4 linked regions of the Lonchura striata genome follow. The protein of the gene in region 4 purifies or fractionates together with the protein of the main gene of each other region. This does not show direct contact. Links are inferred from orthologs where the notes say so. Each region holds a gene or a part of one and is shown on either strand. Other genes may lie near its edges. The genes, in order: HSPE1, ENO1, TPI1 and SOD1.

Region 1 (7,119 bases), on a different chromosome or scaffold from region 4:
AAATAAAACATTAACACATTAGTCAAACATTATCACCCTTTCACAATATAAACCATTAAAAATCAGATCCTGACACAAACCAGCCTGGGACGTATAGAGGGACTCACGGTAAAGGAAGGCCAAGGCAATGTGCCCAAGCTGAAATTTAACCTGTTTTCCAGTGTTGCTACTGACTGAACACTGCTCTGGTGGGGAACCAGCCCTTCTGATGTGGGAGCACCCAGGCACTGGCATTTCTGTGAACTCTTATTGGCATATGCATATCCAATGTGCAAAATTAACAAACAGTTATTCAACAATTATTTCTTTTGATTGCTGACTTTCTTTAGTCCAAGAAGCCTAATCCTTATCGATAATGATATTTTGCACAGCACAAGGCAGCCAATACCACATTTTGGGGTTCCACCCTGCTCACAAGTCACAGACATTTGGGCACGTAGTAATTTTAACAAAGAAGTCTACTGGTCCCTCAAGGTTTTGGCTGAGATGTGATGAAATATGGTATCACATAAAACACTGTCTACAAAAGAAACTCCACTCCATTTTACAAATGATGAAAGGAATGCTGGAATTCATTTCAGGACAACTTGAGATTTCTACCTGCTTTTAAATCCCCACTTGCAATTTTAGCCATCACAGTCATCCATTACCACTTTTGCACAACAACCATCCCACTCTCACGGCAACATTCCAGTGACCACCACACCATTACTGGTTCTACCAAATGGAATGCTTCAGGGTGATTACCTTTCCTCTGCCTCCAGATCCAACTGCTACTACTGTTGCTTGTAGTACCTTCCCTTGGGATTTTTCTGGTATCATGATTCCTCCTTTGGTTACTGTCTCAGCCGCACATCGCTCAACCAGCACACGATCAAAGAGGGGAAGAAATTTCCTAAATGCTTTTCCTGCCTGTGGAAGTAATTGTACATTAGTAAGAGCACCATTACAACAAAAACTGCAATTAAAAGGAGTTTTAAAAATCCAACACATAGTGATTCCTCCTTTGAGAGAGATGAATAGTGTAAGACAACTGCTAAGCACTTCTTTAATAGCAGCAAACAAGTACCAGCTCTGACTGCATCAGAAACTCCTGAAGGCACAGGCAGATGCTGGGAAATCCTGACAATTCGGCCGTAGGAAGATGTACTCCAGCTGGGGAATAAACCGCCCTCGGACAGAGCAGACTCCTCTGTCTGGAAAGGCCTCTAGGCTTTTAACACCAAACCCTTAGTTGCTATAGCTTGGCGAACATAATTATTGATTATATGAACCGCATTTCTCCAGTTCACAACCAGATCTAATGGAGATTAAGGACTCCTTGGGAGAGCTACATCTACACTTGTGAAAGGGTTTACATTAAAGAAGCACAAGTCTAACCAGGTGCCCCATTGTCAGCTTTTCTCAGGTGCTTTCAAAAAAATAGGTGAGAATCTGCAGCCTGAACACAGTGCTGTTACTTATCCCAACTTCTACAAAGAGATTCAGAAAAAATTAAAAGAAAGTTTAGGTCAAGAACCTGAAAATGAGAAGCTAGGCACCCTTCTAGCTCAATTGCTTTGGTATCTGCTTCTGTTTAAGCAGAGTCAAGTTGAGGGGTTTTTATTAAGCTGTTGGGTTTTCCTCTCATATCTGGCTTAGTTTTGGGGTTTTTTTACAACTACCTACTGCTACCTGTCTGCATTCCAGAATCGGCAGTCAAATTCCCATAGGCCAGATAAATGCCAGCAAATGCATTTATCCAAAAGCACGGGGGTCAGGAAGAAGGAACTTGCTTTGATTTAGAAGGAAAGATATGGCCACTTGCCAAGTCACATGGAGCTAGTGCTCCACTAGGCAGGTACACAGAGGCCACACTCAGAAAGAGCCAGAAGGGCCTGGCACCCGTGTCCCTTTGCTGGCACTCACCGGTATCCACACACACTTGAGAAGTGGCAGAAAGCAGAGCCACAGGCAGAGCGCGAACAAAAGGCAGCTCATAGAAGATGTATTTGACTGCTGTCAGCAGCACAGGGATGAAAGCTAACCAAGGGAAAAGGCTGCCAGTTCTGTACGTTTCATTCTGTGAAAATAATATCGCTGACCCTCCTTTTTAAGAGCTGTTTTACGTTTACCAAAAATAAAGCTGCCAGACTAATGATCATGAACATTTTACACCAAGTTTTAATTCTTTACGTTATTATCATCACAAGAACCAAGTATCACTGCAAGAACAAGGGCAACTCAGTCAAACTCTCCTTCTTCCCTATAAAAAATTTCACTAAACGTACAGAAGGAGAGCTCTGGAGCGTGGCACAGGTTTCCATCTCCGCAGAGACCCGCCGTGGCCTGTGCGGCCCTGCCCTGCGGCGCTGCTGTCACGGGGCTGCTCCCGTTACTGCGGCGGGGAGGAACCCTGAGCTCGAGTGTCTGCGCAGCCAAAGGCAGCCAGCCCCGGCAAACCTCCCGCCACGTCCCGGCCGCAGCCCCCGCGCCTGCCGGGGAGTCGCCTCTGCCCCCCGGACTGCGTGACCTTGCGGCGCCGCCACCCCGGCTCCACCTTCCCCGCGCCTCCCCGCGACCCAGCGCTGCCCGCGGGGACCGAGCGCAGCCGTGCGCGGCCGCGGCTGCTCGGGGGCCCCGGCAGCGACCCAACCGCGGGGAGAGCGGGGCCGCCGCGGGGCCCCGCGGGCCGTCTGTCCCCGCGGCGCCAGACACGCGGGGCGGGGCGGCCCGGGCCACAGCAGCGATGGGCAGGCGGCGCGGCGGGGCCCCGGCACTCACCATGCTGCTCCCGCGCCGCCCGCACCGAGTGACCGCGCCGCCGCCAGCACACACGTGAGGAAGGTCACGGCGGGCGCATGCGCGACCGGCGCCCCGCCCCGGGGCGGAGCAGACCCGACCCCCGGCCCCGGGGACGTTCAGAGCCGCCGTTTTTTTCCGACCTCTGCGGCCCCCTCTCAGCCCCGGGAACGGCTGCGCCCCGGCGGCACGGCGGGCCCGCCGCGCAGCTCCCGCGGCGCCCCGGGCCGGGCCCCGCACGGAAGTGAGGTCAGCTCACCTCTGACCCGCGGCGGGCATGAGCGTTCCAGAAGGTTCTGGAATCGGCGGGCCCGGGAACATGAATAGTTCATGCTACGAGCCCTTGGCGCATGCGCTGTTGTAGCCCGCGGCCCAGCGCGGCATGCGGGCTGTGGGCGGGCGCGGAGGCCATGCTGGTTCCGGGGCCGGGCGGCCGGAGCCGCACATGGGCCGGCGGCGGCGCGGGGGCGGGGCCGAGGCGGTGAGTGCCGAGCGCCGCCCGCCGCCGCCGCGCCAGACGTGCCCCGAGTCCGCAGAGCCGCGGTGCTGCTCCCGCGCTGCCGCAGGTGAGCGGGAACGCGCCCGGCGCGCCGGGCCCGCGCCGCCCTGCCCGGCTTGGGAGGGGCACGGGGCCCCCGCTCCTTCGGCCGCGCTTCCCGCGGGGGCCGCGCGCCGGGAGCGGCCGGGCCCGGGCGGCGGGAGCGGGGGGCGGCCGCGATGCGGGCTGTGCGCCCGGGCGGCGGGAGCGGGCCCCGCGCCTCCTGCGGGCCGGGGGTGGCGCGGCGGGCCGGGCGGCGGCGGCGGGGGGCGGGCGGCGCTGACCTTGCTGCGCGTGTCCTGGTGCGGCGGCCATGTGCCCGCGGGGCCCTGCCCGGCGCGGGGGCTCCTGCGGGCCCGGGTGGCGGCCGCGGCCTTGTCGCTCTCCTGTCCGCCCTTGGTGGCGTAGCGGGCTGCGGGAGCCGTACCCGAGCTGCCGCTGCGGCCGCGGGCGGGCGCGGCCCCGCGCCGAGCACATGGAGCCGCGGGCGCTCCGCGCTGCCCTCGCCGCGCCCTGCCCCGCTCCGGGCGGGAGGGATCGGACGTGCTGCAGGCCGCGCGGGGCTCGGCGGGAGCATCGGGGACACCCGGCCCGGTACCCGCAGTTACTTGTGTGTCGCGATTTCAGCCACTCGAGAAACTAAAGATTCATCGTGCCTGCTTTACTTCCTGAATCTCTTACCCCTCTTTTCCTGCAGAAGTAGCTGTGCAAAGCCATAATGCTTTTGTTTTTCTCTACCTTTCTTTTAATATTTTAGACATGCTCCGCTTATCTACAGTACTCCGTCAGATAAGACCAGTGTCCAGATCCCTCGCCCCACATCTGACACGAGCCTATGCAAAAGATGTGAAATTCGGAGCAGACGCGAGAGCTCTGATGCTGCAAGGAGTAGATCTTTTAGCAGATGCTGTAGCTGTCACCATGGGGCCAAAGGTAATGGAAGATTTGGCCTTTATGTTAGACCTGGCTGAAAATAACTGTAACAGAGAACAGTTGTTGAGTTTCTCTCGGTGAAGCTGCACGATTGTATTTGCAGACCTGCAACGCGAAAGGGTAGGGGAATGGGGCTCCTGCAAGCAGCTGTAGTCTCATGTCCACCAAAAGTGGGACAATAGTGCACGTGCTTTTTGAAGTAACAAAGTAAAATTGCTTGGAATCTTGTGAAAGGTACATTATATTCGTCTAAACAGTTTGAAGGTTAAGGAGTTGTGCATAATGTGTTACCAGCTCAGTTGATAACCTGTAACAGTGCAGTAGATAATGTAACTGTCTGTGTCGTGGGGTAGGTTAATCAGCGTGTGGGTGGCTTGGTTGGACTTTTTTATGATGCTTGTTTTGTTTGTTTAACAAATTAAAATTTTATATTGGTTTACCTTTTAAATATTAATAAGCTTTTAAAAATAGCCAAAGTGTGATGTTGAGTTTTCAATTGTCTGGTGAGTATTACCAGCCTAAGTACAATTTTGTGGTATTGCATTTATTACCCTATATTCTGTCCTGTAAAGGAGATCTGGGTCTCTTGGAAAACCAGCTGTGGTATTCTGCATAGTCATGCAATGTGCAGTAGGGCTTGAAATGAGATTCCTCTTTTTGAGGAAGAGACATGGATTTTCTTGGGGGTTATGTGAATATTTGTTCCCTATAATAGCATGTGCATGGTAGTTCTTCTGAGGATTGCTTGTCCTCTGTAACATTATTTCATGTATTTTCTGCCCATTTTTAGTGCTCTACCACTTTCATTCAAAGGCAAAAGTGCCATAAAGCTGAGCAGATGAAGGATCAATTATGTCAGGAAGCCGTGACTGCTTCCATGAAGGAACAAAGTTTAAGTGTAGTTGGTTAATTTAACTCTTGTTTTTTTGGATCAGGCTGCTTTCTGAATGCCGAAGCACAGTTCTAATCCACTGGCTAAAGGGCAGTTGCTGATGTAACGTAGTGTAACCTTAGGGGATTTTTGTTCATTATGCTGTTCTTCATGTATTGTAAAAATTGAGGGGTTGTGCTGCAGTGCCTGAGTCTGCTTCTGGCATTTTTAAGAAACATCACTGGTGAGGAAACCTCCTTTGGCACTGCTCTACATTTTAAGGAGCCCAGTTTGCAGTCTCACACAATCTTTTGGTAGTGCTCCAGTATGTTGAACAGAACTGGTTTGTGTGGGAGCCAGACCATTCCTAAATGCCTGTGCAGTTACTGGTGGTGTTTGTTCTCTTCTTCAGGAACACAGACAGGTGTTTTTGCTTCTAAAAGAGCAAGCCCTTTCATGTGATTTGTTATCTAGGTTTTGTTGTGCTCCTCTTCTCAGAGCTATAAACCAACCATTAAGAATAAGACTATATCAAATACAAAACAGAATTAAGCAAACTAGGAGACGTTATATGAAAAATGTACCTACTGGTAGCATGCTCCTCCACAGAGGAGTTTTCTTATACTTGAATCACATTTATATTTAGATGGGCAGGTCAAATAAGATAATTTATTATTTTATCATAACTATTCCGTGGCACAGAGGTAAATTTCAATGAGTTCTTCCCCTGGTTCAGCCTGAGTAACTGAAGCAGAACCTTTCCTTGTAGCTGCTGGGGTGCTGTGCTTCAGGAGCAGCGAGGCCTCGTGCCTGGCAGGCAGCCAGAGCTGGTTCGGTTTTGAGGCAGATGTGTGTGGGCTCCGAGCAGGGGAGGGGCACAGGGCACGCAGCGCTGGGTGCTGCACTGAATCCTTGCCTGGCTCCTGATCCCCACCCTGGGCTCTGGCAGGAGCCGGCGGGGTCAGCTCGGAGCAGGACCTGACAGACCCAGTGAGGGCACTTGTGCAGGGCTGGCTGGGAGGGACACTGCTGAGCTGGGGCTCCCTTCCCTCTTCCAGCAGCTCCAGCTGCCAGGATAGCAGAGGAGTTTCAGGGCAGCACTAAACCAGAGGTGGCTCGAGTTTCTGCTGCCTCCAGCTCCGACTGGAACATGACTGGGACAGCTGTTGGTTCCTGTGTTAGCTCTGCCTGTTAGATACAATGCTCCGGCTTGTTAGTTGGATTCAGGCGAGAGCTAAGATGAGAAAAGCTTGGTAACTTGAAGTGCTTGAGAAATTACTGTAACACATGAACACAAATTTGAAGTATTCTCAGTTGTCTTTGCTAATCACTATTAAGGTTTGCAAGTCTGCTTTTTTTTTTTCCTTACAGCATATGCAACAAATTGAGCTTTGTATTACTTGTTTTTTAATCACAAAGAATGTTTATTGTGATGTGATTAAAATTTTGAAAATTTGGTTATTTGAATTGCTGTACTTTTAATTTTGGGGTAAAATATTAGCATTAGAGAGAATCTCTTCAGTTTTTTCTCTACAGTCAGTGTTACTTAATAGCAGGTATTAAGCATTATGGCTGAAGAATGGAGTGTCATTCTGTGGAAACATAAAGCTTTTGAACCATTTTTCTGGTTTAGGAGAACTTTAGTATTAAAGTAAGTGTTTGAGAAGTCCCAGCTGAATGCCCCGTGTAAGCTGTGACTGTTCAAAATTTTCAGTTGAGCTCTTGAGAGTAACTTGCTTTGGATTAGCTTGGATTTAGAATTTGGTTTTTGTCCCCCTAGGGAAGAACAGTTATTATTGAACAAAGCTGGGGAAGTCCCAAAGTGACAAAAGATGGTGTGACAGTAGCAAAGGCAATTGACTTGAAAGACAAATACAAAAACATAGGAGCCAAGCTAGTTCAAGATGTTGCCAACAATACCAACGAAGAAGCAGGAGACGGTACCACTACTGCAACAGTCCTTGCACGAGCTATTGCCAAGGAAGGCTTTGAGAAG
Region 2 (7,823 bases), on a different chromosome or scaffold from region 4:
GCTCCCAAAACAGCAACTCTGCTATCTGTCAAGAGTTCTTTTTGCTAAGAGACCAGGGTGCAATAGCTCTCAGCATGCAGAGTGCTCTTAGTATGCACAGCACCTGCTCAGAGCCAAACGGAACCAATGACCAAAGAGAAGAAGCCACAGCTCATTAAAAACTTGCATTAATAGTTACACCCTGTTGAGAATTTACAGGAATATTTTTTCCTCTTAACTTTTTATCTTAAAAGGAAAAAAAAAATCCCCCTAGTCTTTTGGATACTTCTTTTTTCCCTTCTTACATTTATCCACTTCAGAAAAGTGCAGCCAGGGAATTCTTATGTAAGCCCAGGCACATTTTAAAAATCAAGTCATACACATGCCTGTAAGCCATCGACTGGCACCAAACCCAGCCCATCTGCACAGAAGAAAGCTCAGCCTCAGAAGCACAACTATCTGGAAGCTGGTTTCTTGGCAAGCCAATGTGGGTGGCAACCCTGTTTACAGAAATGGTCATGAATCCTTCCACAGTTACTGCAAAGTTAAAAAAACATGACCTTAGAAATGCTGCTGCTGGTTCACAGTCTGTGAGGGGGTAGTTGCACACTCTTGTTCCTCCCCCACAGCAAACTCTGCCCTCCCCAGGTCAAAAGCACAGGCAACCTTTGCTTCCCCCCTTTTGGCTTTCCCTGTCCCTTCCAGCTGTCCTGCCCCTGCGTGCTGTCTAAGATTTCAGTCAGACCCCCACACTGACACATGATCTGACTAAAATATGAAACAAGACAGCTTCTTCAAGCTGACCTTCATGCTGCCACTACCTAGCTTCAGTCAGTGAACACACAAGCTAGAAATAAATCCCTGCAAGTCTCTGCTTATCAGTCCCACCCACACTTAGCTCTCTGCAGATGCACCGAGCAATGGCTAACAGGAAGAATGCCCACTTATCCAAAAAGGCTTTCGGAGTTTATCACCTGCTAAACCTTACTTTCATTTTTAGAACCTTGGCTTTGCTACAGAATTTGAGGTGGCTCATTCTTTGAAAGCACAGCCAGTTTCCAGGACGTCTCAGTGCAGTGCTACAGCTGTTTGTTGACCTTCATGAAGGAGGCACTTCAGGAGCACACACTGCAAGAACTTCCACTGGGAATGCCTGTGAGGTCAGACATTACTCCATCCCTGACAAAGGACCACAAGTCCCTCCCTTCCCTGCAGAAAGAGGCATTTCACAGCACTGCATTACCCTAGAAATCCATGATGCTCCTTATGCAAACTCTCCACTCCTGTGTTCAAGAAACAATTCTCCCTTTGAGCTATAGGGTAAAACTGATGCTGTTTAGCTCACCACGATATATTCTGCCTCAATCAAATCAGTCAACTCATCCAGAACACAAGGGTCAGCCCGTGTGTGCACAGGTTTAACCACAGAAATGCTGACTGAAGGCAGAGAGGACAGCAGCACTGTCTGCTCAGACCTTTGTCCTGTGCCAAACACGCAAACAGCCCGGTGGTATTTAACGAGCACACTGCCTTAAACCTTTTCCTGCAGCATAATCTGCTGACAAGGTCACTGTCTCCCTTCAGGGGAAGCCACACACTCCAGCTTTCCTGGCCTGGCCTGCCCAGGAGCACCTAGAACCCCTGCCAGCTCTGAGGACCTTCTTCACTACAGCTCAAGTCTAAGAAATCACCACGTATTCCTCATCTGACCCTGCACAGGGAATGCAGTACTCTCAACTAGAGATCACTCCAATTGAAAATTATTTCCAAAGATGTTTTATAGGCAACCCTACTACCAAAATCTGTCCTTGTGAGCTATCTTGCAGCCACACTTCTCTAAAATCAATACAGGGTTAAGGCTGAGCACTGCAAGCATCTGAATGGAGATTTAAAAAGCAACACTAAAGTTTAGCCATAGAAATAACTGCCCTAGTGAGTGTCTTATTACAGGCATGCCACATTTATCAGTGGAAGCCTCTCTTGACACTTAAAGGTCCTTATGACCGTAACTCTCATACCACCAGTGCTCTGAAAAAAGCTGAGACCTTTGAGTGCACTCTATGAGATCCCAACGTATTAATTCCCCTGCCAAAGCTCTCCCTGAAACTGGACAAATGTGCACATTCCAACCCTGCTCCTCTCCACTCCACGGGGCATTAATCCACCTCTACAACATGATCCAACGGGTTCTGAAGGATGCAGACACGTTCAACCACTTTCTCTCTCTGCGTTTAGTAAGATGGAGGCCTGAAAGTGCGTTGGCTCAGCCTGTGGGCTTGGATGACAAACTTCAGTACTTCCTGCCGGCTCAGACAGCCACGGCCCTACCCTGTGACTCAGCAGGCAAGTAACGGAGCAGGAGAAAGCCCAGGGTCCTCTCTGGCAGCCCTGCACGAGGCAAGATGGTTAACAGGCAGCTCTTTATCCACACCTGCACATCCAGCTGCTGCTCCCCACCAACGCTGCCCTGGGGTAACCAGCACTTAAATACCCGCTAAGAGACCTCGGGCACAGATGCTAGCAAACGTTAAATATTTGAGATGGGAAGCTAAAGGACATCTACTAAAGAGGGGAAGGTCCAAATCACCACACGCAATCCGAGAGCTACTGTTAATGATTAAAAGAAAGAGGTTAAACGCTGTCTTTGAGGATGCCTTGACCCACCGCATCCCCCTGATTCTGCCCCCGCCTTGACCCACCGCATCCCCCCCGCTTTTAACCCCCACCCCCGCACACCGCCGGGGCTCAGGCCGCCGCAGGCCCTCCCTGCCCCGCCGGCGCTGCAGGGCCACACAGCAGCCTGCACCCCCGGGGACCACCGAGCCTCGGCCCGGCCGGGGCTCCGCGGCCGCTCCGAGGGGAGCGGATTCCCTCTCCGGAGAAGGGAAGCGCGGCCTCCGGGCCCGCGGGGCGAGCCGCCGCACTCACCGCTGTGCCGGCAGCCCCGCTCCGCAGCCCCGCCGCTGTCGCCGCCCCGGCTCCGACTGAGACCCAACGGCCCCGCGCGCACCCGCCTATAGCCGGCCTCGCGCGCAGGGCCCGCCCCGCGGCCGCGCCCATTGGCCAGCGCCGTCCCCCGCCGCGTCCCGATTGGCCGCGGCCGCCTCGCGCCAGCGGCGGGCTCGCGTGCGTGCGCTACGTGCGGCCGGGCCGGGGCCTCGTGGAAAATCCCCGCGCGAGGGGCGGGGCCGGCGCGGCGCATGCGGGCGGGGGGAGCGGGCGGGACCATGCGGAGCGGGCGCGGGGGGAGCCGTGAGGCGGGCATGGCGTGAGGGACGGGCGGCGCGGCTGGGCACCGGCACCGGCACCGGACACCCGCCTGTCCCGCAGCCCTGCCGTGGGCAGCCACATCTCACACTGCCCCAGCTTGCTGCGAGCCCCGTCCACCCTGGCCTTGGAGGCTTTCAGAGTTATCCTCCATCCAGAGTGCCATGGATGCCCTGTGCCTCACCACCCTCACAAGGAATTCCTTCCCAATCTCCAAACTAAAGCTGCCCTCTGTCAGTTTGAAGCTATTCCCCTTGTCCTGCCACTGCTCGCCCTGTGGGCAGTCCCTCCCCATCTCTCTAAGCTCCCCTCAGGCGCTGTAAGGCCAGGACAAGGGTTCTCTCTAGGCTGAACAATCCCAGTTCCCTCAGCCTTTCCTCACAATTGTGGCCAGTTCTGGGCTCTGCAGTGCAAGAAAGGCGAGGAATACTGGAGAGGGTCCATGGGGGCCACGAATTTGGGGTCGAGCATCTCCCTGATGAGGAGAGATGAGACAGCAGGGCTGGGGCTGGGTGGTCTGAGGAGACTGAGACGGTGTGGGAATAACGAGTAAACCTGGAAGGAGGAAGGCTGGAGCGGATGTGTGTGTTCCAGGAAAAGGTTAATTACAAGCACAATAAATATTCACTCTGATTTTGAAGTGAGTAACCATCACACTTCCTGGAGGGGAGAAGGAGCACTAAACGTGATGGCTGTGACAGCTCACACCAGTGTGCCAGCTGGAGCACAAACTTTTCTGAGTATGTAATAAGTTGGGCTGTGACACCTCACACCAGTGTGCCAGCAGGAGCACAAATTTTCCCGAGTGTGGAAAAGTTGGGCTGTGACACCTCACACCAGTGTGCCAGCAGGAGCACAAACTTTCCTGAGTGTTCTGGGATAGTGGAAGCTGTCCCTGCCCGTGTCAGGGCTGGGATGGTTGAGCTTTAAGGTCCCAGCAAGCCAAAGCATTCCGTGTTCTATCTGTGGGGATGTGGCAGTGCCAATTCACCCTGACTGCACCAACAAAGCTGTTTTATTGCTCACAGATCAGTGAAGTTCGTGGTGCTTCAGCCCTGCCTCGCCCTGTGCCGGATGTACCTTCTGGGCACATTTTTCTTTCCTTCCTGAGAACATCCCCTCGGGACAAGCTTAAAGTCTAATAAAGAGCAGAGGAAGTCTGCAGGATTGACCTTCCCGCTGGGACAGCAGCCTCTGCAGAGGGAGAAGTCCTGTGCCAGCCAGGCTGGTTTGTGACAGTGCCCCGTGTCCCCCATGCCCACTGCCTGTGGGGCTTTTGCCTTCCCTGCACATCCCTGTGGCTGCACAGCCATGAATCAGGTTGTACCCAGCTGAGATAAGGCACCACTGGGCAGGGAAAGCCCTTGGAATTAAGCTGTCACAGGTAGATAATTCTTTGAAGTGCCAGCCCCCCCAAACTGCACATTGTACCCCTTAGAGCTGTGTCCTTGGCAGCACTTTATCCTGCAGCCTCACCCTGCCCAGTGTGAGGGCATGAGAGGGGAACATTCCCTGTAAAAACACATTCCAGATGCTGGAAATCCTAAAGCTGCATTTTTATGCTGGTTAACTGCTGGATTAGAGATGCTTCACTATCTTTGCACTTTATAAAAGTGCCTTTATTGCCATGCAGGAAAATCACACAGAGGTGTCAAATCTTATAATGAGCTAAAGAAAATGGAACACAAGAAAGCCTGAGGCTGAGGGAAATTAAATATTGTAGTAGCCAGCAAAGGCTGATGCTGAAGTACAGCAGGGTGCTCTTTGGGGACAAAACGTTTTCTGAAAGGTCATAATTAGCCTGGTGGGAGGCAGAAGTGGGGTTTAAAGGAACCCCCTGCCCAGAGCACTGAGCTCTTGCCCTATTCCCATTCAACCAAACCAAAGCTGTGAGGGAGAAGTGGCTGTGGGAGACCAACCTAAACCCCTCCTTGTGAGAAAGAACCCAGAACTTGCCAGGAGGAGTTTAGGTCTTGTCCCCTGCCTCTCCCTCCTTCCCTTGTGGGCACAGGGGCAGCACAAAGCAGATTTCCTGGTCTGGAGCCTGGGCAATGAGCTGAGGGCTCCGAGGAGGTACAGCTGGGGACACGGGGCTGCAGGCAGCAGTGCCCAGGCACCCAGGAGCCTGGCACTGATCAGGTGCTGGTATAATTTTTTCCTGGATCAGCAGATTTAAACTCGCACTGTGCCATACGTGTTAAAATTAAACTCAGAGCTGATATTAAAAGTGCTGCTGCTCAGCTGTGTATCCTACCTGATTTTTCTTTTTGTCTTGCTTTAAAGAGCATCCCCAAGGCTATGAGATTTCTAGGAAGCAGAAATTTCTTTTGGAATCCAAGCTTGTTACCAGTATCAAATACTCAGTATACTCTTTAAGTATTTCATGGTTTGGAAGGGGCCTGTATGGCTAATGGGGTGGACCCTGGGGACAGAGAGTTTGGGGACACATAAAGCCAGTGCTCCCATTCAACAGCCCACACAGGAACACTCACACAGCAGAACTGCTGATGGAGCAGGGGGAAAAACCACTGGCACAGACCTGGCTCACAGGCATCCACCACCCAGAAATAGAGAGCGACTCTCAGGAGCAAAATCCCTCCGCTGCAAGGCCTCACATTCCCTGTGCTTTACAGGGAAAATTGGAGTGTGATAAATGTCAGTTTTTTGGTGGCTTGCAACACGCTGATGAGCACAGAAGCCAGCCAGGCCAGCCTTTCCCTGCCCTGTTTCGAGCAGTTGGGCAGGAGCCTTCTGAGCTCTGCAGAGTGTGAAATCACTGGTTCAGGCAGCTGAGGGTGCCAAGGCAGAGCAGAACCACCACAGATCAGAACTTGTTTGCGATGCATTCAAGTGCTAATAACCATTAGCAGCAGCAGGGCACATTCCAGGGCGTGAGCTTTCAGAGAGCCTTGAAGCACTTCCTGCACGCTCAGGGACTTCTCTCTCCCCCCAGTGCCTCCCACAACACCTGAAGATGTGCCTGGGTGGCTGCGTGAGCACCTCCCTCACCCGCTGCATCCGACACCTCTGCAAGTGCCAGCCTGTTTGTGTTCTGAGCAGGTTCCCTTGGCAGGGCAGCTCTGCATCTCAGGGAGCCAGGCTTTGCGACTCGCTTCAGTCCAGGTGGGACCTCCAGAGGGAAGCCACTGGATGCAGACGTGAGCACTCTGTCACTCAGATTTCTGCTCTTCATCCACCCTGCAGATCCTGGTGTTTTTACGGACCCTTCATTGGAAAGGTAATGGCAGAGTCTGACTAACGCTCTTTCTGGGTATCTATTAAATTGTGGAATGACTGTTTGAGATGTTTTCTTCCAGGCGTTCAGAACCTCCTCTGACTTTACATCCTTCTCCCCCACTTTTCATCCCATTTTTTGCAATGCCTTTGTCTCACAGCTTCACCCTGCAGCGAGGCACCTTTAGGCGCATGAATAGTGAAATGGCTGGAGGTGACAGACCTCATGGCTTTCTTAATGCTCTTACCTTCCAGCACTTCCAGCTTTCTTAATGCTCTTAACTTCCTGTCTTCATCATCCTGTCTTCTCCAGGGCTTTAGTGGAGGGCTGGTTGGTCCATACTGGTTAGAGTGGGTCTGTGTGCAGTTGTGTAGTGTGGCTCCACCATCAGCCTCCCTGAGTACACGAGGGCTGTGTGAGACCCTCGGGTACCAGGCAGGATATTCTGTACTACTGGAAATGCTAATTTAAATTTACAACTACCACATCCATCTTCAGGGCACAGGGAATGGTCATTTGGAAGGGAACCAATGCATGAATCAGGGGACTGATACCAAAGAGTACATTTCCCAGGAGCTGATGATCCGATACGGTGATTTGTAGGAGACTGAAAGCTTCTGAACCAGCTGGATATTAATTGCCAGGAACTCTGGATCCAAAGGCCATAGCTGCTTGTTGCAACCATGCTGAAACCATGCAGTAATTCTCTTTATGGAGGCCAGAGTGCAAGTCCTGCACTGCTTCTCACAGAGTGTCTGAGGCTCCTTGCTGAGCAGGGCCTTCCCCCTCTCTTTGAAATGTATTCCACTATAAAGGGGAAAGCAAGTTAGGAATTGATTTGCCATTAAGAAATTGTATTTGGTGTTTAGGATTGGGTTTTTTTTCTGAATGATAACACGAAGAAAAAAAAAAGAGTAGTCCAATAACAACTCATTTGTTTCCTTAATGGGTGCAAAATAGTTATGTAAAGCACAAGAGTTATCAAGCAGGATCCTCTTGCCACAGAACAGGTACAACACAGACAGAGAATTTAAATTTCCTTCATGTTGTCTTCCTGCCTTAAACATCAACCTCATTCTCATGGGAAACACTTCCAGCTCCCATCATCACTTTTAGCTCCTCAGAGTGCAGTGGCGAGGATGGACTGTGGGCACTTTGCTCCTTCTGAAAGTCCCTGCAATGACCTTGCCTGCAGAAAAAAACACTGCAGAGCTGAGCGAGCAAACACTGGGCCCTGATGACCTTGGGAAAGCAGGGACTGGGCCCTTGGTCACCGAAATGGCGTGCATCTGTCCCCAGTTTGGATCTCTGAATGCATCTCAGTGAGGTCTGCTTTGTTCAT
Region 3 (7,084 bases), about 11 Mb from region 4:
TCCTTCCCTGCAGAGACTGAGCTGCTCCACTCTACATTGAGTGAGCAAAGTCAATTACCAGGCTTACAGGCAAAGAGCATGGATGAGCACATTACTGAGCCTGCCAGGGAAGACTGGCTCACTGGTGGAACAGCCAGGTGCTCCAGCAGCTACTGGAATAGATACACAGATATAACAAAATCACCACAGGCCCAAAGAAGAGCTGTTATATGCCAGAAGCAAGATGCAGGTTGAACCCATGTAGTGCCTACTGGAGTAATGGTGGGCTCTCAGGGAAAAGCCCACAAAACCCTCTCTGCAACCAGCCACCTCAAAAAGCAGTAAGTTCTCTATGCTGCTTGTCCCCGAGATGCTTCCAAGTAAGATCCAGGACACACCTTTGCTTTTTCTGTTTTTCATTTATTGTTCAGTACGGGACACAGGTGAGGTAAGACATCTCACAAGGGTCTAAGCTGAGAGATTCCTTGCTGATGGAGCTGAAGGATGCAAGAGACTGTGGTTCCTTTTTCCTCCCCGCAGCACCAGCGGCTCCCTGTCCCTGCAGGGCTGCAGGGAAAGGGAGAGATACTGGCCAGGTGGGCTGTGAGCTCTGAACAGGTCAACAGGAAACTGAGGATTCAGCTCAGAGTGGAGACTTGTCAAGACTCTGCCGAGACAGGCTCCTGCAGACAGGACTCTGACGTGGTGGGGGTGGTTAGCAGAACATCTAGAACAATGACTGTGGAGGGGGAAAGCCTCAAGGGAGGCCTCCGTACTGAGATGTGTGCAACAAAAGGTCCCTTCTTGCTTCCACTTCTTTACCACAAGGGACAGCTCCTCATGGGGTGCTTCAGTGTTTGGCATTGATAATATCCACAAACTCTGGCTTGAGAGAAGCTCCACCAACAAGGAAGCCATCCACATCATGCTGAGAGGCCAGCTCCTTACAGTTGCTGCCAGTGACAGAACCTAAGGAGGGAGCAGTGTTTTAAGGTCAGATGCGCCAGCTCTAGGAAAATGGGGCCAGAGCAAAGGCAGGACTGGCAAGGTACCAGCCACTTCTTACAGACAGCAAGACTCTCCCATTTATCCAAGCAAGCTACCCAAATAAGCTATAAGGTGATTCTTTATGCCCTGAAAGTCAAGAGTTTCCTTGCCAGGAAGAAATTATGTACAACTGCAGCAACAGGTAGAGAAATGAAGCACTTCCTGCCCTGGAAAGTCGCTCCAGACTCACCTCCATAGATAATCCTAGTTGACTGAGCAACAGCATCAGACACGTGGCTTTTCAGCCACCCCCGCAGCTTCTCATGAACTTCCTGAGCCTGCAACACAACGCAGGAGTCACACTGAGGCATGAGCCATTCTGCACACAGTTCCCTTCCAAAGACAAGGTTTCCTGAGGGGGAAGGGTCAGTTGGTCCTTTAAGCAGCACCTCCCATGCTCATACCTGTTGGGGAGTTGCAGTTTTACCAGTTCCAATAGCCCAAACTGGCTCATAGGCAAGAACCACTTTACTCCAGTCCTTCACATTATCTAGGGAGGAGAGAAGGTAGAGGTAAGCACAATACCCCCATACTGGGAAGAGCAGAGCTGGAAAATGGCTAAAAAAAAAACCAAATCAACCATTTCATTTTCCTCTTACCAGCAATAGCCTTGGTCTGTTCAAAAACCACTTTCTCTGTTATGCCAGCTTCTCGCTCATCCAGCTTCTCTCCAATACAGGCAATGACTCCAAGGCCCTCAGCCAGAGCATGAGCCACCTTCTGTCCAATCAGCTGGGAACGGAAAAGAAACAAGGCAGCCAATAAAACAGGTTGGAGGTATGTTTTAATTGTTCACTTTCTCAGTCTTTGCAGACCCATTGTAACTGGACCATGTCTCCATTCTATGAGGCCACTCACCTCATCAGACTCTCCAAAAACATGCCTTCGCTCTGAGTGGCCGAGGATCACCCATGCAGCTCCAATATCCTTGATCATTGCTGGGCTGGGGAGAAAGGAGATGACTCACTGGAGGAAGTTCACATCCCAGAGGCACCCTAACTTTATTCTCTGGGCTCACCTGATCTCTCCTGTGAAAGCTCCTTTTGGTACTTTATAACAGTTCTGTGCTGCCACGCCAATCTTTGCATCGAGCTTCTGACGGGCAAAGTCTAGGTAGATGGCAGGGGCTCCACAAACCACCTCTGCAAGGCAAAGCACCTTGTAACCCTTGTGACAGGAAAAGGGCAGAAACTGTACCCAGCCACTGATCCCAAATCCCAGCCCCAAGGGGTCATCCCTCTCTCCTGGGAAGGCACAGCCTGCCCCTCCTCACTGACATTTGGTGGCCCCTCTGCCACAGGGCAATCCCCGCTATCCGATTACTCAACAGCAGGGAGGAAAGCCTTTTCTAGGGGGCTGGACAGGCGACACCAGCCCGACGGCCAGCTCACAGGGGTCCCTTGGGAAGTGCCCAAATGAACGATCGCGTGAGAATCCCACCCTGCAGCCTGGCCTGGCCGAACCGGGCTGCGCCTGGGGGTATAGCCGGGCGCGGCGGCGGGGCGGGCGCAGCGCAGCTCGGTGCTGCGAGACCGCCGCTCGCAGGGCGCGGGGGCCAGGCCGAGGGGAGGCCCGGGCCCGCCGCGCGGGGTCCCCGGGGGTCGGCCGCACGTGGCGGCCGGGCCCGCAGCAGCCCGGATCCGGTTTCGCGAGTATATTTAGCCGCGGGGTTATATTTAGGCCCCGCCGCCCTCTGACATTTGGCGCTCCCCCGCCCGGGCCCGGGCCCGGTCCCCGGCTCCGCAGGGCCGTGTGGGACGTGCGCTACGTGCGGGCCGCGCCCTCACCGGTGTCGGCGGAGAGCTTGGCGCTATTCAGCGTGTGGATGAGCTCGCCCAGGCTCTTCTTGTCGCCGTTCATCTTCCAATTGCCCCCCACGAAGAACTTCCTGGGCGCCATGGCGGGAGGGAGCGGGAGCGGGGCCGGCGGCGGAGGAGACGCGAAGGTCAGCGGCGGCGGCGCGGAGACCGGCGCCCTTTTATAGCCCGGCGGCGGCCGAGGCCCCGCCCACCCCGCCCCGCGCGGGCCCGCCCCGCCCCGCCCCGCCCGCGCGCTCCCGCGGCCAGGCGGGCTCAGACAGGAGCCAGGGGGGAATTTCGGCTTTTATTTTGTCCCTCGTGTATTTTGGCATCTCAAGGGCACACAAGGGGAAGCGCTGCCCGTGGCCCGCCTTGCTGCCCGCCCCACGCCCCCGCCCGACAGGGCGGGCAGGAGGAACCCCCCCCATTCACAAGCCACACGTACACACGAGCCCCCTCCTCTCCTTCCGGACAGCAAGGAGGTGGCATCATCCCACCAAGCAGCGAAGCACTAGGGCTGTGTGGCACGGGGGTGGGGACAGTGAGGACATTTCCTACAGAAACAGATATTCCCAACCCCCCAAACCCCCTTCACTCATGTCCACGGGGGCTCCAGCCCCCAGTCGATCAGTCAGTGAACTCTTGTATCCCCGTGTCTCCACAGAGAGGCCGTGAAGGGACCGGGGAAAGCAGCAGAGAAGAGAAGGACCCTGCTCCCACCCTCACTGCCCCCACCCCTTTCCCCCCCCGACAGCTTCAGCCCACTTTCCCCCCACCACACACAGCAAGAGGATGTTCTAGCTGGGAATCCGCTGATAGAAGTAGATGTAGCCCAGGTCCTTGGGGGGCTTCTCAGAAGCACAGACTTTCTGGTCGTTGTAGATCACCCACCTGCAACAGGAGTAAGAGGAGCTCAGGAATGCCATTCGTGGTTAAGACACAACTCGATTGCCTGCTCTCAGTCCCAACCCCCCAAGACTTCTGAAGAAACAGGGCAGGCTGGGGATTTAAAACCAGTACCTCAGTTCCCTTACACTGTGGAAATCCTTACCTGCCATCTTTCTTGATGTGACAAACATAATGTCCACACATAGTTGAAGTGCCCATGTGGCTGATGAAGGCAAACAGCTGATATTCTTGAAAGAAGGAGGGAAGAGAGGATTGTCAGGGAAAGATGTCTTACACCCTAACATCCTCTGCAAGGCCCTCTCTAGAGAAGGATCCCTGAAGGAGGCTCTGCTGGGTAATAATTTAGAACTGGATCCCCCGTCAAGTGTGACTGTCAGTGGTCTTAAGGCCAGACATAGAGGGAAATGGGAGATGCTGACTTCCATTTAGACTTGTCTCTTCCAACTTTCTATTTGGGCCATGGCTCCTGGATGGGTAAGGCAGGGATTTTGCCTCCCTATGGCACCCAGGAGCCAAGCACCACTGGCACAAATTCTGTGCACAAACCAGAACTACTTTTTTTCAGTGGGAACCAAGAGAGCAAAAAAAGCCTCCTAGAACCACTGGACAAAAGCAGCACAGCCCTTCCTTTCTCTTCATGGCCCTTCCCCAACCTCTCTCTTATTGGCTTCCAGGTTAACACTCATCCAGCCTGAAGGATCTAGACTACTTTGCCATACCTTCCCTCCTCCTCCCTGCTTCCACCTCTACAACCAGACCAGCTCTGCAGTAGCTGCTGCTGCTAAAACCTGCAGTACTGCATGGATCAGGAATGACAAAGCAATGTTGAATTTGCACCCCAAAATCCACATTCCTATGGCTTGGAACTCACTTCCAGGCCCATCGCGGACTTTGGGACCCACAGGGATGGATTCAGAGATGGACTCGGCTGCCGAGCGCCCCTCTGAGATATCCATAGCAGCTTCTGCATCGAGGTCATCGATGTGACTGAAGATCCAATCCACAGCACGCTCCAGACTGTTGTTCTGGAAGGAAGAAGACGACAGTGAACTTGAGAATTCCTGTTCCTGAGAAAATCCTTGCACTCTGATGTCACCCATGCCTCTCACCGTGGCTCTAAGCGCTTTCATTGCCTGGTCCCGGGAGAAGCCCATGGAGACAATGGTGGCCACGCTGTCTTCCGAAGGAGGGTCTGGGCAGGCAATAGTTGACCCTGGCCCACTGGATCCAGGGAGAACTAATGGGTTAGCAAAGTCTGCAGCAGGAAACACAACACAGCTCCGAGTAATCAGATCTCTCCAAGAGGGTACAGCCCAAGTCCAAACTACTTCAGTTTTCCACTGTGGTAGTAGGACACAAGAACAGCCCAGAAGCAGCAGAAAGCTTCACCATGCCCATGGCCTCATACCTGGATCGTCCATATGTGACATGACCCAGTTCATGGCCGCCTCAACCCCACTGTTCCCTGTGTAATACACGGCTTTGCGGCAGGCATCCATGGGAAAGCCCATTTCCACTAGCTGGATAATCACCGACTCATCCAGCATGGGTGCTGTGGGGAGACAGAAGTTAGAGCCACCCACTCCCACCCATCCCTGCTGGCTCCATTTTGTCTCATGTCACACAGCCTCCAAAGCCACCACTTCCTAGCTTTATTTCACACCACCTTCCATCTCATGGCTTTTCTCAGCCACCTTTCTTCTTCAGAAGAGCAGTCTCACACACAGGCAAAGAACAAAATGATTCAACCCATGAACTCAGGAGCACTGGCTCTTCCCTAGGCTCTGAACCCAACCTCCCACTGTGGTTTGTAAAAATTAAATACCCCTACCAATTAAATGCTGTATAAATCCCAGCTCTGTCTCCTCTAAATGCACCAGACACGCCACCCCATCTTGCACAGAACAGGAATCAATAAACCCCCTTGCATAACACCCTTGCATAACAGGCATGCAAGGGAGGCAGCTGGCAATCGCTGACAAAAGGACAGGGAAAGTCTGAGCAAGTGGGAAACTGCTAGCATGGGACACAAGGCAAGGAGAGCAAGGAAATGAGTCAGGCATCAGGAAGAGAGGAGGAGAATCACTAACATGTTGGAGAGGAGAAGTGAGGGGAGCAGAAGGAGTCGTCGTCCTCGTTGCCATAGAACCCCAGGCTACCTTTGGGCTCATCTGGTGTCACCAGTGGGGGTGCGATGTCTGGCATTTCTTCCTCTCCTTCCTGCAGCCCCGTTCCCTGCAGTGCAGAGATATCCAGCTCCTCTGGCATTTCAATGGAAACATCTGCAAGATATGGTCTTGCTCAGCCTCCACGTAGGGGCAGAAGCAAAGGACTCAGCTGGGAGATCTAGAAGGGTAAGTCCCTGGGGATGCCTGCAGCAACTTTTGGGATAGTCACTTTCCTCCTGGCAGCAGTGACCACAATATCCATATGTGACTCCCAGTACCTATATGCTCTGTACTTCTCATCCTCCTTACCGAGTTTTTTGGGCACCCAGTCCAGACCAAAGGTGAACTTCTTGATCTGGATGACCAGATAGTCTGGGAAAGAGGCGAACCGTGTTGTTCTGAAAGAGACACGTAATATTTTTAAATACCTGGTCAGCAAAGACTAAGGGTATCTAGCTGATCCAATAAATCAGTGAGCAGGACAGAACCATGTCCTGAGCAAGTTGGGGGACACACCTGTCTGTGCAGTTCTTCTATACTGAGCTTAAAGCTCCTCAAACACAGAACTATTTCTAAGACAGAAGCCCTGATGAGATGGAATGCAAATCTTGGAGATGAGAAAAAATTGTACATATGCTCTACCTTCCAATCCTGTATTTTACAAACCTGGTCAGATTTTGTTTAATTGGAAGTCTAACTCTTAAGGAATGTAGTGGAAATAACATCTTTTATTAGAGCAACAGAACATGCAGGAACTGTCAAGCTTTCAAGCATAAGAGCGCTTTTTTGGATATGAAACAGAAGCAGTGAATTTTAAGTTAACCAAATTCAATAAAACATTTTTTAGTTAGACAATTTGAGAGAGAAAGTGTCTGGAAGCTATGAAACAGACGGGAATGTTTGTGAAGGGAGAAGCACTTCTAAGTGAGACAGATACTCATTACCAGGTGATAATTGCAAGATGCTGTAGAACTAAATCAAGTGACAGTAAAGTGTTTGAATACAACTCAGTAAAAATTAAAACAAAATGTTACTTTTCAATGTGTTATTTGTTTATAGTAGCTATTGCTTAATAGTAGAGAATTTAATAATTTAATTAATTAATCCATTAATAATGGAGTATAGAAAAGCCCTTCCAACTCTTTCATGACTTTCATTGCAAAAGAATACTCAGCATCACAG
Region 4 (7,541 bases):
GGGTAAGAGCAGCAATGAAGAGCACTGCAGGTACCACACTTAGCTCTTGGCAATCCCAATCACTCCGCAGGCCAGGCGAGGCCCTGCGTTTCCAGTGAGCAGGCTCTCGTCATTGCCCCCTTTGCCCAGGTCATCCCGCCTCTCGTGCACCTGCAAGAGAATTGAAGGGACCTTAATTGATCTAAGTGCAGCTCCAATCATGGCTGCTCCTGGCAGCAGCAGCAACACCAAACTAATTACACAATGCCAATCTGATCTCTGTGCCACAAGCTTCCAGCTGGACCTGTTCAAGACCTGACCAAGGGCGACTCAGGCACCCACAGCAGGAAGGGGCAGAATTAGAGAGGGACATCTCCAGAAGGCTCGCAGGAATTGGGGTCCATGGCAGTGAAGTGCCACACTTAAAACACATGGGGATGGCTGTACATCCCCTCGCTCTGCTCTGAGGTTTCCCTTGTCACTCACCACCATGGTGCGGCCAATGATGCAGTGTGGTCCAGAGAGGGAAATGACGGAATCCTGGATGGACACCTCGGCCACGCCTCCTTTGGCAGTCACATTGCCCAGGTCTCCCACATGCCTGCACAAACACACAGGAAACTCAGAAAGTGGCCTGGACTGAAAGCGTTTCCAAGGGAAGGCTGGGAGTTTATGTTACAGCATAACAAAGGCTCCCAAATCCAGTGGAACAACCTTTCCTGCAAACTTGGTGAACACTGCTACTGTTCTCAGAGCTTTTGCTGTCCATGACAGCTCAGCTGTTCCACAGACAGCTGCAGGCTTTTGGTTTAAGGAGGATTAGGAGAAGCAGTTTGTCAGGCAGCAGGTCAAAGGCAATGCAGGAACTGCTCAGTTCCAGCCAGTACCAGGGATGATTATTCCAGTTTGGCATTGCCCCATCACTTGGCATACTGCTCTTCCATACAGCTTCTATCAGAGCTACATCTCTGCTAAGGCTTGCCAGGAGAACTGAGCCTCGAGCAGTGGAATTTTCACAGGACTTCTGGATGTGCTGGTGTGCTGTGTCCTGCACACCTGCCCTAAGCACAGCATTCACTCAAAATGCAGCTGATCGTGTTCTGTCAGGCTCCTCTGTCCAGATTCAGAACCTGGAATACTGACACATCCCTGCCAGGTGACCAGCTCAGCCAGCCCAGGGCTGACAACCAGCTTTCTGCAAGAATTCAAAGTCCTACAAAACTGGGTTAATGGCAGCTCTCCCCTAAGAAATTTGCTTGATTTTAGCTTCCAGAAAGCTTCTCTCCAGTTGTTTCTTGTACACTGATAAAAGGAAGATCCACTTCTTGCATCTTCCTAAGGAACTCCCTTGCCCACAGCCACACCAGGAGCAGATCTGTCAAGGTTCCAGAAGCCACAATGTTCGTGCACTCCCAACCTTTAGCCCCGAGCAGTGGTTGCCAGGGCCCCGACACACATTTCATGCTGTGTCATGCAGCAGCTGGCCCACATCCAGCTCTGCCGGGCCTGTGGCTCAGGTGGGATTTATCAACCATCCATGTCAGCATTCCAAGGGTGATGCCAGTACCAGGCTGCCTGAGCCCTGCTCCCAGCGCCACTCCCCAGATGCACAGGCACACCACTTCCTCTGGCACCCACCCAAGGGAACTGGGCTGTGAGAGCTGCTACCAGGGAAGAGCCTGGTCTCACATCCCACTCAAGTATTGATACCCAGAACAAGCATCAGGCCCTCACTGTCCCCTCCACCCAGGCCAAGCTAAAACCAGACAATGCCCTCAGAAAAGTATTTCACAGCACACTCTCAGAGAAACAAGCTGCTGGGGTTACTAAAGTGTGGCTAAGTGATCTTGGGAACCCTGCAGGAATTCCCACGGATTTTCTGGTACATCTGAGCCCCCAGCAGTGCCCATGCCCTGGACTCACCTCTCGGCATCACTGGGACCCCCGTGCTTTTTCTGCTCCGGGTTGAAGTGAGGGCCTGCACTGGTGCACCCTAGAACACAGCACAGTCAGAGCAGGATCCCAGGATAAAGCTCCTGCTCCCACACCGCTCCCAGCAACAGCAAACAGCTCCTCTCCCTGCTAATCCCCTGGAGATAAATCACCTGCTACAGACTTACAAGTCCCAGGCTCAGCCAGAAGCTTTATTATTTCATAACACTGAGATATCCCAAGAGTTCAGGTGAGTGCTTGGTATGTCAGGTCTTGACCACCAGCCTCAACATGCTCAGAGTATTAGCCAGGAAGCAATTCCTCGGGAACGGCCACAATTTCCTCACACAGACTTGCAGCCATGAGACCCAAGCTGCTGCTGCAACACCACGAGCAGCTCTTCGGAGCGAAGCAGCCACCTTCCCGCCGTGACCCAAAGGCCCGGAGAGACATCTTACCATTGGTGTTGTCCCCGAACTCATGGACGTGGAAGCCGTGCTCCCCATCGGCCAATCCAGTGATTTTCCCAGTGACTTTCACCGGTCCGGTACTCTTCAAAGGAGAGCATTTGTCACCACAAAGACTTTGGCATTACACGGCTCCGTGTCAAACGAAAGTGGCAGAAAGGCCCCGCCACGAGCCCGCGATAGTGACCTAGAATGTCTGCGTTCGTTTAACGCCCTCAAACGCGTTCTTTTACCTGTTTTATCAATAAGCACATGGAGTGCCTGTTATCTGACGGGGCCTTCCAGAAAGATCCCGTACTGTCACAGAGGAGCGCGAGTGACCCCGCGGCCGTGGCTCCTTGGCCGGCCACAGGGGACGGCGCAGCTCCTGAGGGCCGCGGCCATTTGGAACCGCAGCGCCCTCGAGCTGAGCCCGCCCCGCTCCCTCCCGCCTCGCCGGCCACAGGGAGGAGGCTGAAGAGGGAGATCCCCTGGGAGAGCTCTCAGCGGCCCGGCCGTGCTTTCACCTGCTGCTCGAAGTGGATGACACCCTCCACAGCCCCCTCGCCCCGCATCACGCACACAGCCCGCACCGCCGCCATCTTCTGCCCGCCCGCAGCGCCCGCGGACTGCCGGCACGCCCCGCCCTCTCTCCCGCTATATAGGGGGGGCGGCCGGCTCCGCAGCCAATCGTGCGGGGCGCCGCGCGCAGCCCGGCCAATCGCGGTGCGGGGAGGTGGGAGAGGCGGGGCCGAGAGGCGGTGAGCGCGGCGGCGAGAGCCGCCCTCTGGTGGCGGGAGGCGCATAACGGGGACCGGGACCGGGAATGATTCAGAGGGACCGGAGAGGGAGGTGCTGCTCACGGCACGGCTCACGGCTGTGTCCCCGCCGCGCCGTGGGACGAGCAGCAGCGCTGTGTCCCCACCCTGCTCCTTCTCCAGCCGCAGCTGTGACGGGGCGGCGGGCGGATGCTCCGTTCTTATCCCAAACTGGAGTGCGGTTGTGAGGCTGCCCTGAGCAGCTCTGCGTTTCGCTAGAGCTGCTCTGCCCTTAGGGTGTTTGGAACTTAAATCAGAATCACAGATTTGAGAGTACCTGGAGCTTTAGGTAATCACGGAAAGGTTTGCGTTGGGAGGGACGTAAAAGCTCATCCAGACTCACCCATTCCATGGGCAGGGACACCTTCCTCTGTCCCAGGCTGCTCCAAGCCCTGTCCAGCCTGGCCTTGGACACTTCAGGGATCCAGGGGCAGCCACAGCTGCTCTGGGCACCCTGTGCCAGGGCTCCCACCCTCCCAGGGAACAATTCCTTGCTGATATCCAATTTAAACCCACTCTGTGTTAGTTTGAAGCCCTCTGGACTGTCCAGCAGCTCCACGTGCTGCTGCTGTGTCCCAGGGCTGGGGCAGCTCTGCAGGTGGGGTCTCACCTGGGCACAGGGACAGAGGAGCAGAATCCCCCCTTCTCTGCTGCCCAAGGGGGTTTTTATTAATCTCTGTCTGTGACTAAGGTATAAGTGACTTAAAGCCCAGGTAGCTCTAAGTGACTTGTTTGGGGCCTCATTAGGCCGGGGAAGGATGCAGAGCAGTTGTGGTTGTTTCACACCTCAAAAGACCTGAGCCATGGCTCAGGTGACATTACTGCAGCAGAGAGTTGTTTGCAGGAGAGTACCAAACCAGGTGAAAAAGACGTGATCCAGATAAATACATGGAGAGACACATTGGGATTTGTAGCTCAACCCTGGAAAGATGCTGGGAAGAAAGCCAGCCCAAACTTCCTGTCCAGGAAGGGAGAGAAACACTCCTTGGAGTGTCAATCCTGCTGTGCCTGGAGAGGAGACTCAGTCACTTGTGAGGAAACAGGCACAACAGCAGCACCCTGAGCCTGCTCCATCGGGAGGAGAGCTTCCAGTGCCCTCGAGGTGGCCTTGTTTCATTTAAAGAGGTTTCTAAACTCCTTAAACATGGTAATGTCTCATTTTACTTCCCTTATCACCGTATCACTGCAAGGCTTTCTCTTACTTTGAGTCTGATCTCCAAACCCGCCCTGATGTTTTCATCAGGTTTATTGTTTCCTCCCTGGAAAACAAGATCAGTTCCAAGATCTGCCCTTCTCCATGCCCCAACACGAGTGTGGCACAAACAGATGGGTGAGAGCCAGATGTGTCAGGTTTCTTCATAGGCGAAGTGAAATAACCAAAAGTAATTTCAGAGGCTGATGGCGTTAATAATCAGTGTCAGGATACCTGGGGTGCCTCAGTTGGGCAGGTTTTGTTATGTTTTGTCCCACATACTTATTTTAAACTCATTTATTTTCTTAAATCTTGTCAGCAGGTGAGAAAATCCACCCCCACCCCCCTCCCAGTGCAGCTGAACGTGGTGTTTGACAGCACAAAAATAATCATTTGACCCAGCCACATCAAATGGTGACGTGATTATTTTATTATTTGGAATATCAGAGTCAGAGCTGAGAGGACAGAAGAGAAAGAGCATATTGATTCTCTCTAATCTGCCAGTTTAAAGGCAGTTTTGGCATCTTGATTCTCTCCTAATCTGCCAGTTTAAAGGATGAAATAACTGCTGCGTGATGCAGGTTAACAGCAACCTAAGCTATGTAGAGAAAAGTTAATACACTTCTCAGCAAAATGTGACAAAGTAGCAAAAAATCCCAAACCTCAGGTCCCGTGAAAAGGCCTAGAGCAAGGATAAAGATCTTGAGGGAACAATTCCTCAGTGAGATTTTATACAGGTTCAAAAAGAAGAGGGAATTTTGAGAGTTGTGTTTCCTGTGGTGCAAATAAATAATTTTTCCTGCTTGTGGTGATTCTCTGGGAGAAGCACAGAGCTGGAATGTTCATCTCACTGTGGGCTCCCTGTGTCCTGATCAAGAGTTGTGTGTTATGAACAATTCCTCCTGGTTGTGAGAACTTTGTCCCCACCGTGGGGCGAGAGCTGCATCTCTCTGCCAAGGTCTGCCCATGGAGGGCTTTGATTATTTCTAATATTCCTGCTACTTTTGCCAGTTCACCAAGTGCTTCAAGTATTCCACACAGCACCAAAGCCTGGACAGGATTCCCCATGGAAACAGCCTGACAGGCTGAAACTGGGACCACAGAGCCAGGAAAACCAGGATGGAGGAAAATAGGGTTTCTGGAGCTGCGGCACAGAGGGATGAGCGCAATCAAACTGTATCTTAGCTGGAGTTTTAAATTGTTTTTAAGCTAGAGCATGGAAATATCCTTTCTGAAACTGGCCAAAGATAGAATATTGTCCAAAAAGCACATCTGAAAATTGTTGTGTTTTTGTTTATGCACTCAGGAATGTTAGTTGGCCACTGAAAGGCACCTAAAGGAATGCAACCAAAACACTGTGTGTCTGTGTATAGAGACAATATTTATGGGATGTGCATTTCAAAATATCAACTTGGATAAAAATCAACAAAGTCCAAAGAAACCCTGTACCTTGTCATGCTTTATGACTGGATAAGGATTTCATTCCCAGTGATGAGAAAGCGTAGCTTAGTTTTAGACTTTATTGCCAGTTTTTATTTGAGAAATTCTTACACTGGTAACCAAACTAAACAAAAAACTCTGCAAGTCCCAGCCCATGTGAGCGTGTGCCAGAGGGAAGATCCAGGAGGTTCGTCTGGATTTATTTCAAACACAAACTGCCCTGCACTCTCATTTTTGCCACAGGCACAGTGGCACAGTTTAGTGGTACAGCAGGTGTCAGGACACCAAGGGTGAGGTGGCTTGGATTTAACTCAGCTCTGTTGGGTAATCCTTGAGATGCAAAGTACAAAACCACAGGGAAAATGCTAATTATTATGCAATTAGAAAATAAATGTTGCCACAGGGTAAACTACCCTGTTTCTGCAGGAAAGCTGGAAGGACAAACAGAATATAGCAGACAGGTGTCCAGAATAACAAAGATGTGGTTTTATTTGGAGTTTTAAACATGTGGCTTGTTTTCTGGGAGCTCTGCATGGTTGGGCACCATTGGGTTTGTAGAGCTGTCAGTAAAATGAGGCCAAAGCCTTAATACAAGCAATTAAAAAGTGGGACTGCAGCTGGAAAATGCACTGGCCACATATTTTCATACAGCTTCCATGGCACTGTGGAGTATTTATTCATGAGTATTTACATGTCCTGCATCTGTGTGGAGATATTTCCGCAGTCTCCAGCCATGCCAAAGGGCCAAAGGGTGCTGCAGGAGGCAGCCTGCAGACTTTGTACCCTGCGGGCTCATGTGGCTGCAACACTTTCTCAAAAGGTACTCAGAGCACCTCTGTGTCTTCAGGGCCAGGGCCTGGGCTGTGGCTGCTGGAGCTGGAGGCAGGAGCAGAAGTTCCCGTCCACACTGAGCTCTGTGCAGAGACTTCAGCCCCTGCCACGGGCTCTGCCAGGGCCGGGCTGTGGGGCTTCTTTGGAAGAGGCTGTGGCATCTCCAGAAGCGGTGTCTGTGCTGAGCCACATCCAGGCCTGGCACTCTGGGGCATCCAGGCGGGCACGTGGGCCTGGTGGGACAATTTAAGGCTGCTGACAGTCCCTGGCTGGTAGCCACTGTGTCACAGCGTGGGGAGGGCTTGGCCGTGCCCAGCCTGGCAGTGCCCAGCCTGGCAGTGCCGCTCTGCCCGCAGCTGGAGCTGCTGGAGAGCAGCACTGATTGTGTTTATTCCCTAATCCCAGCCTGTGGCTAAGCCACGCTTTGAAGAGCAGGGATTTTCTGGCCAGGACCGCTCTGACATGCCGTGCTTCAGGTCTGAGAGACCGAGGGAGTTGCTTGGCACAGGCAGAGGGTGCAGCCCTGCTCTGCTGTGCCAGGCATCTCTCCAGAGGAAAATCCTCCTCACTGCAGCCTCCTGGCACCTTTCCTCTTGTCCTGCCCCCCGGCAGGGAGTTGTGGAGAGCCACAAGGTCCCCCTATGGCATTTACATTTCTGGGCATTCAGAAACTGACCTCTAAGGACAGTTTGTACAGAAAATAGAGTCAGGAAAGGAAAAACGTGTTTAGCAGAAGCTAGAACCAACTTGTTGCTTCTTACACTTTTTCAGGTTCAGCGTGGGCTCTGCTGGGGACAAAAGTGGCAATGTGGATGACTGCAAACGGTGCAGGGGGAAGAGTTTGGGGTTGTTTGGTGCAGGCAGTTCGGGGTCAGGGAGTGACACCGGATGGCGCTAGTGCTC

Evidence for each region.
Region 1: the proteins of SOD1 (region 4) and HSPE1 purify together in Homo sapiens (affinity purification with mass spectrometry; 3 studies listed by BioGRID, with this or other methods). This does not show direct contact. The link is inferred for Lonchura striata from reciprocal best matches to the Homo sapiens genes SOD1 and HSPE1.
Region 2: the proteins of SOD1 (region 4) and ENO1 fractionate together in Homo sapiens (co-fractionation; 3 studies listed by BioGRID, with this or other methods). This does not show direct contact. The link is inferred for Lonchura striata from reciprocal best matches to the Homo sapiens genes SOD1 and ENO1.
Region 3: the proteins of SOD1 (region 4) and TPI1 purify together in Homo sapiens (affinity purification with mass spectrometry; 3 studies listed by BioGRID, with this or other methods). This does not show direct contact. The link is inferred for Lonchura striata from reciprocal best matches to the Homo sapiens genes SOD1 and TPI1.

The regions. Positions count from the first base shown.
Region 1 is NC_134610.1:28,261,663-28,268,781, forward strand, and holds the start of HSPE1 (10 kDa heat shock protein, mitochondrial), read right to left. Parts: upstream 3,012-7,119; 5' UTR 2,767-3,011; coding exon 2,764-2,766; intron 913-2,763; coding exon 748-912; intron 1-747. Other genes in the region: HSPD1 (60 kDa heat shock protein, mitochondrial), read left to right, coding at 4,079-4,252, 6,904-7,119. UniProt on the Homo sapiens protein: Co-chaperonin implicated in mitochondrial protein import and macromolecular assembly. Together with Hsp60, facilitates the correct folding of imported proteins.
Region 2 is NC_134626.1:1,242,187-1,250,009, forward strand, and holds the start of ENO1 (alpha-enolase), read right to left. Parts: upstream 3,011-7,823; 5' UTR 2,908-3,010; intron 1-2,907. UniProt on the Homo sapiens protein: Glycolytic enzyme the catalyzes the conversion of 2-phosphoglycerate to phosphoenolpyruvate. In addition to glycolysis, involved in various processes such as growth control, hypoxia tolerance and allergic responses.
Region 3 is NC_134604.1:29,741,741-29,748,824, reverse strand, and holds TPI1 (triosephosphate isomerase), read right to left. Parts: upstream 3,013-7,084; 5' UTR 2,926-3,012; coding exon 2,814-2,925; intron 2,169-2,813; coding exon 2,045-2,168; intron 1,970-2,044; coding exon 1,885-1,969; intron 1,759-1,884; coding exon 1,626-1,758; intron 1,517-1,625; coding exon 1,431-1,516; intron 1,305-1,430; coding exon 1,217-1,304; intron 949-1,216; coding exon 830-948; 3' UTR 379-829; downstream 1-378. Other genes in the region: USP5 (ubiquitin carboxyl-terminal hydrolase 5), read right to left, coding at 3,623-3,716, 3,877-3,961, 4,606-4,759, 4,844-4,989, 5,143-5,286, 5,825-6,016, 6,212-6,300. UniProt on the Homo sapiens protein: Triosephosphate isomerase is an extremely efficient metabolic enzyme that catalyzes the interconversion between dihydroxyacetone phosphate (DHAP) and D-glyceraldehyde-3-phosphate (G3P) in glycolysis and gluconeogenesis.
Region 4 is NC_134604.1:18,641,280-18,648,820, forward strand, and holds the start of SOD1 (superoxide dismutase [Cu-Zn]), read right to left. Parts: upstream 3,001-7,541; 5' UTR 2,960-3,000; coding exon 2,885-2,959; intron 2,464-2,884; coding exon 2,370-2,463; intron 1,973-2,369; coding exon 1,903-1,972; intron 581-1,902; coding exon 466-580; intron 151-465; coding exon 40-150; 3' UTR 1-39. UniProt on the Homo sapiens protein: Destroys radicals which are normally produced within the cells and which are toxic to biological systems.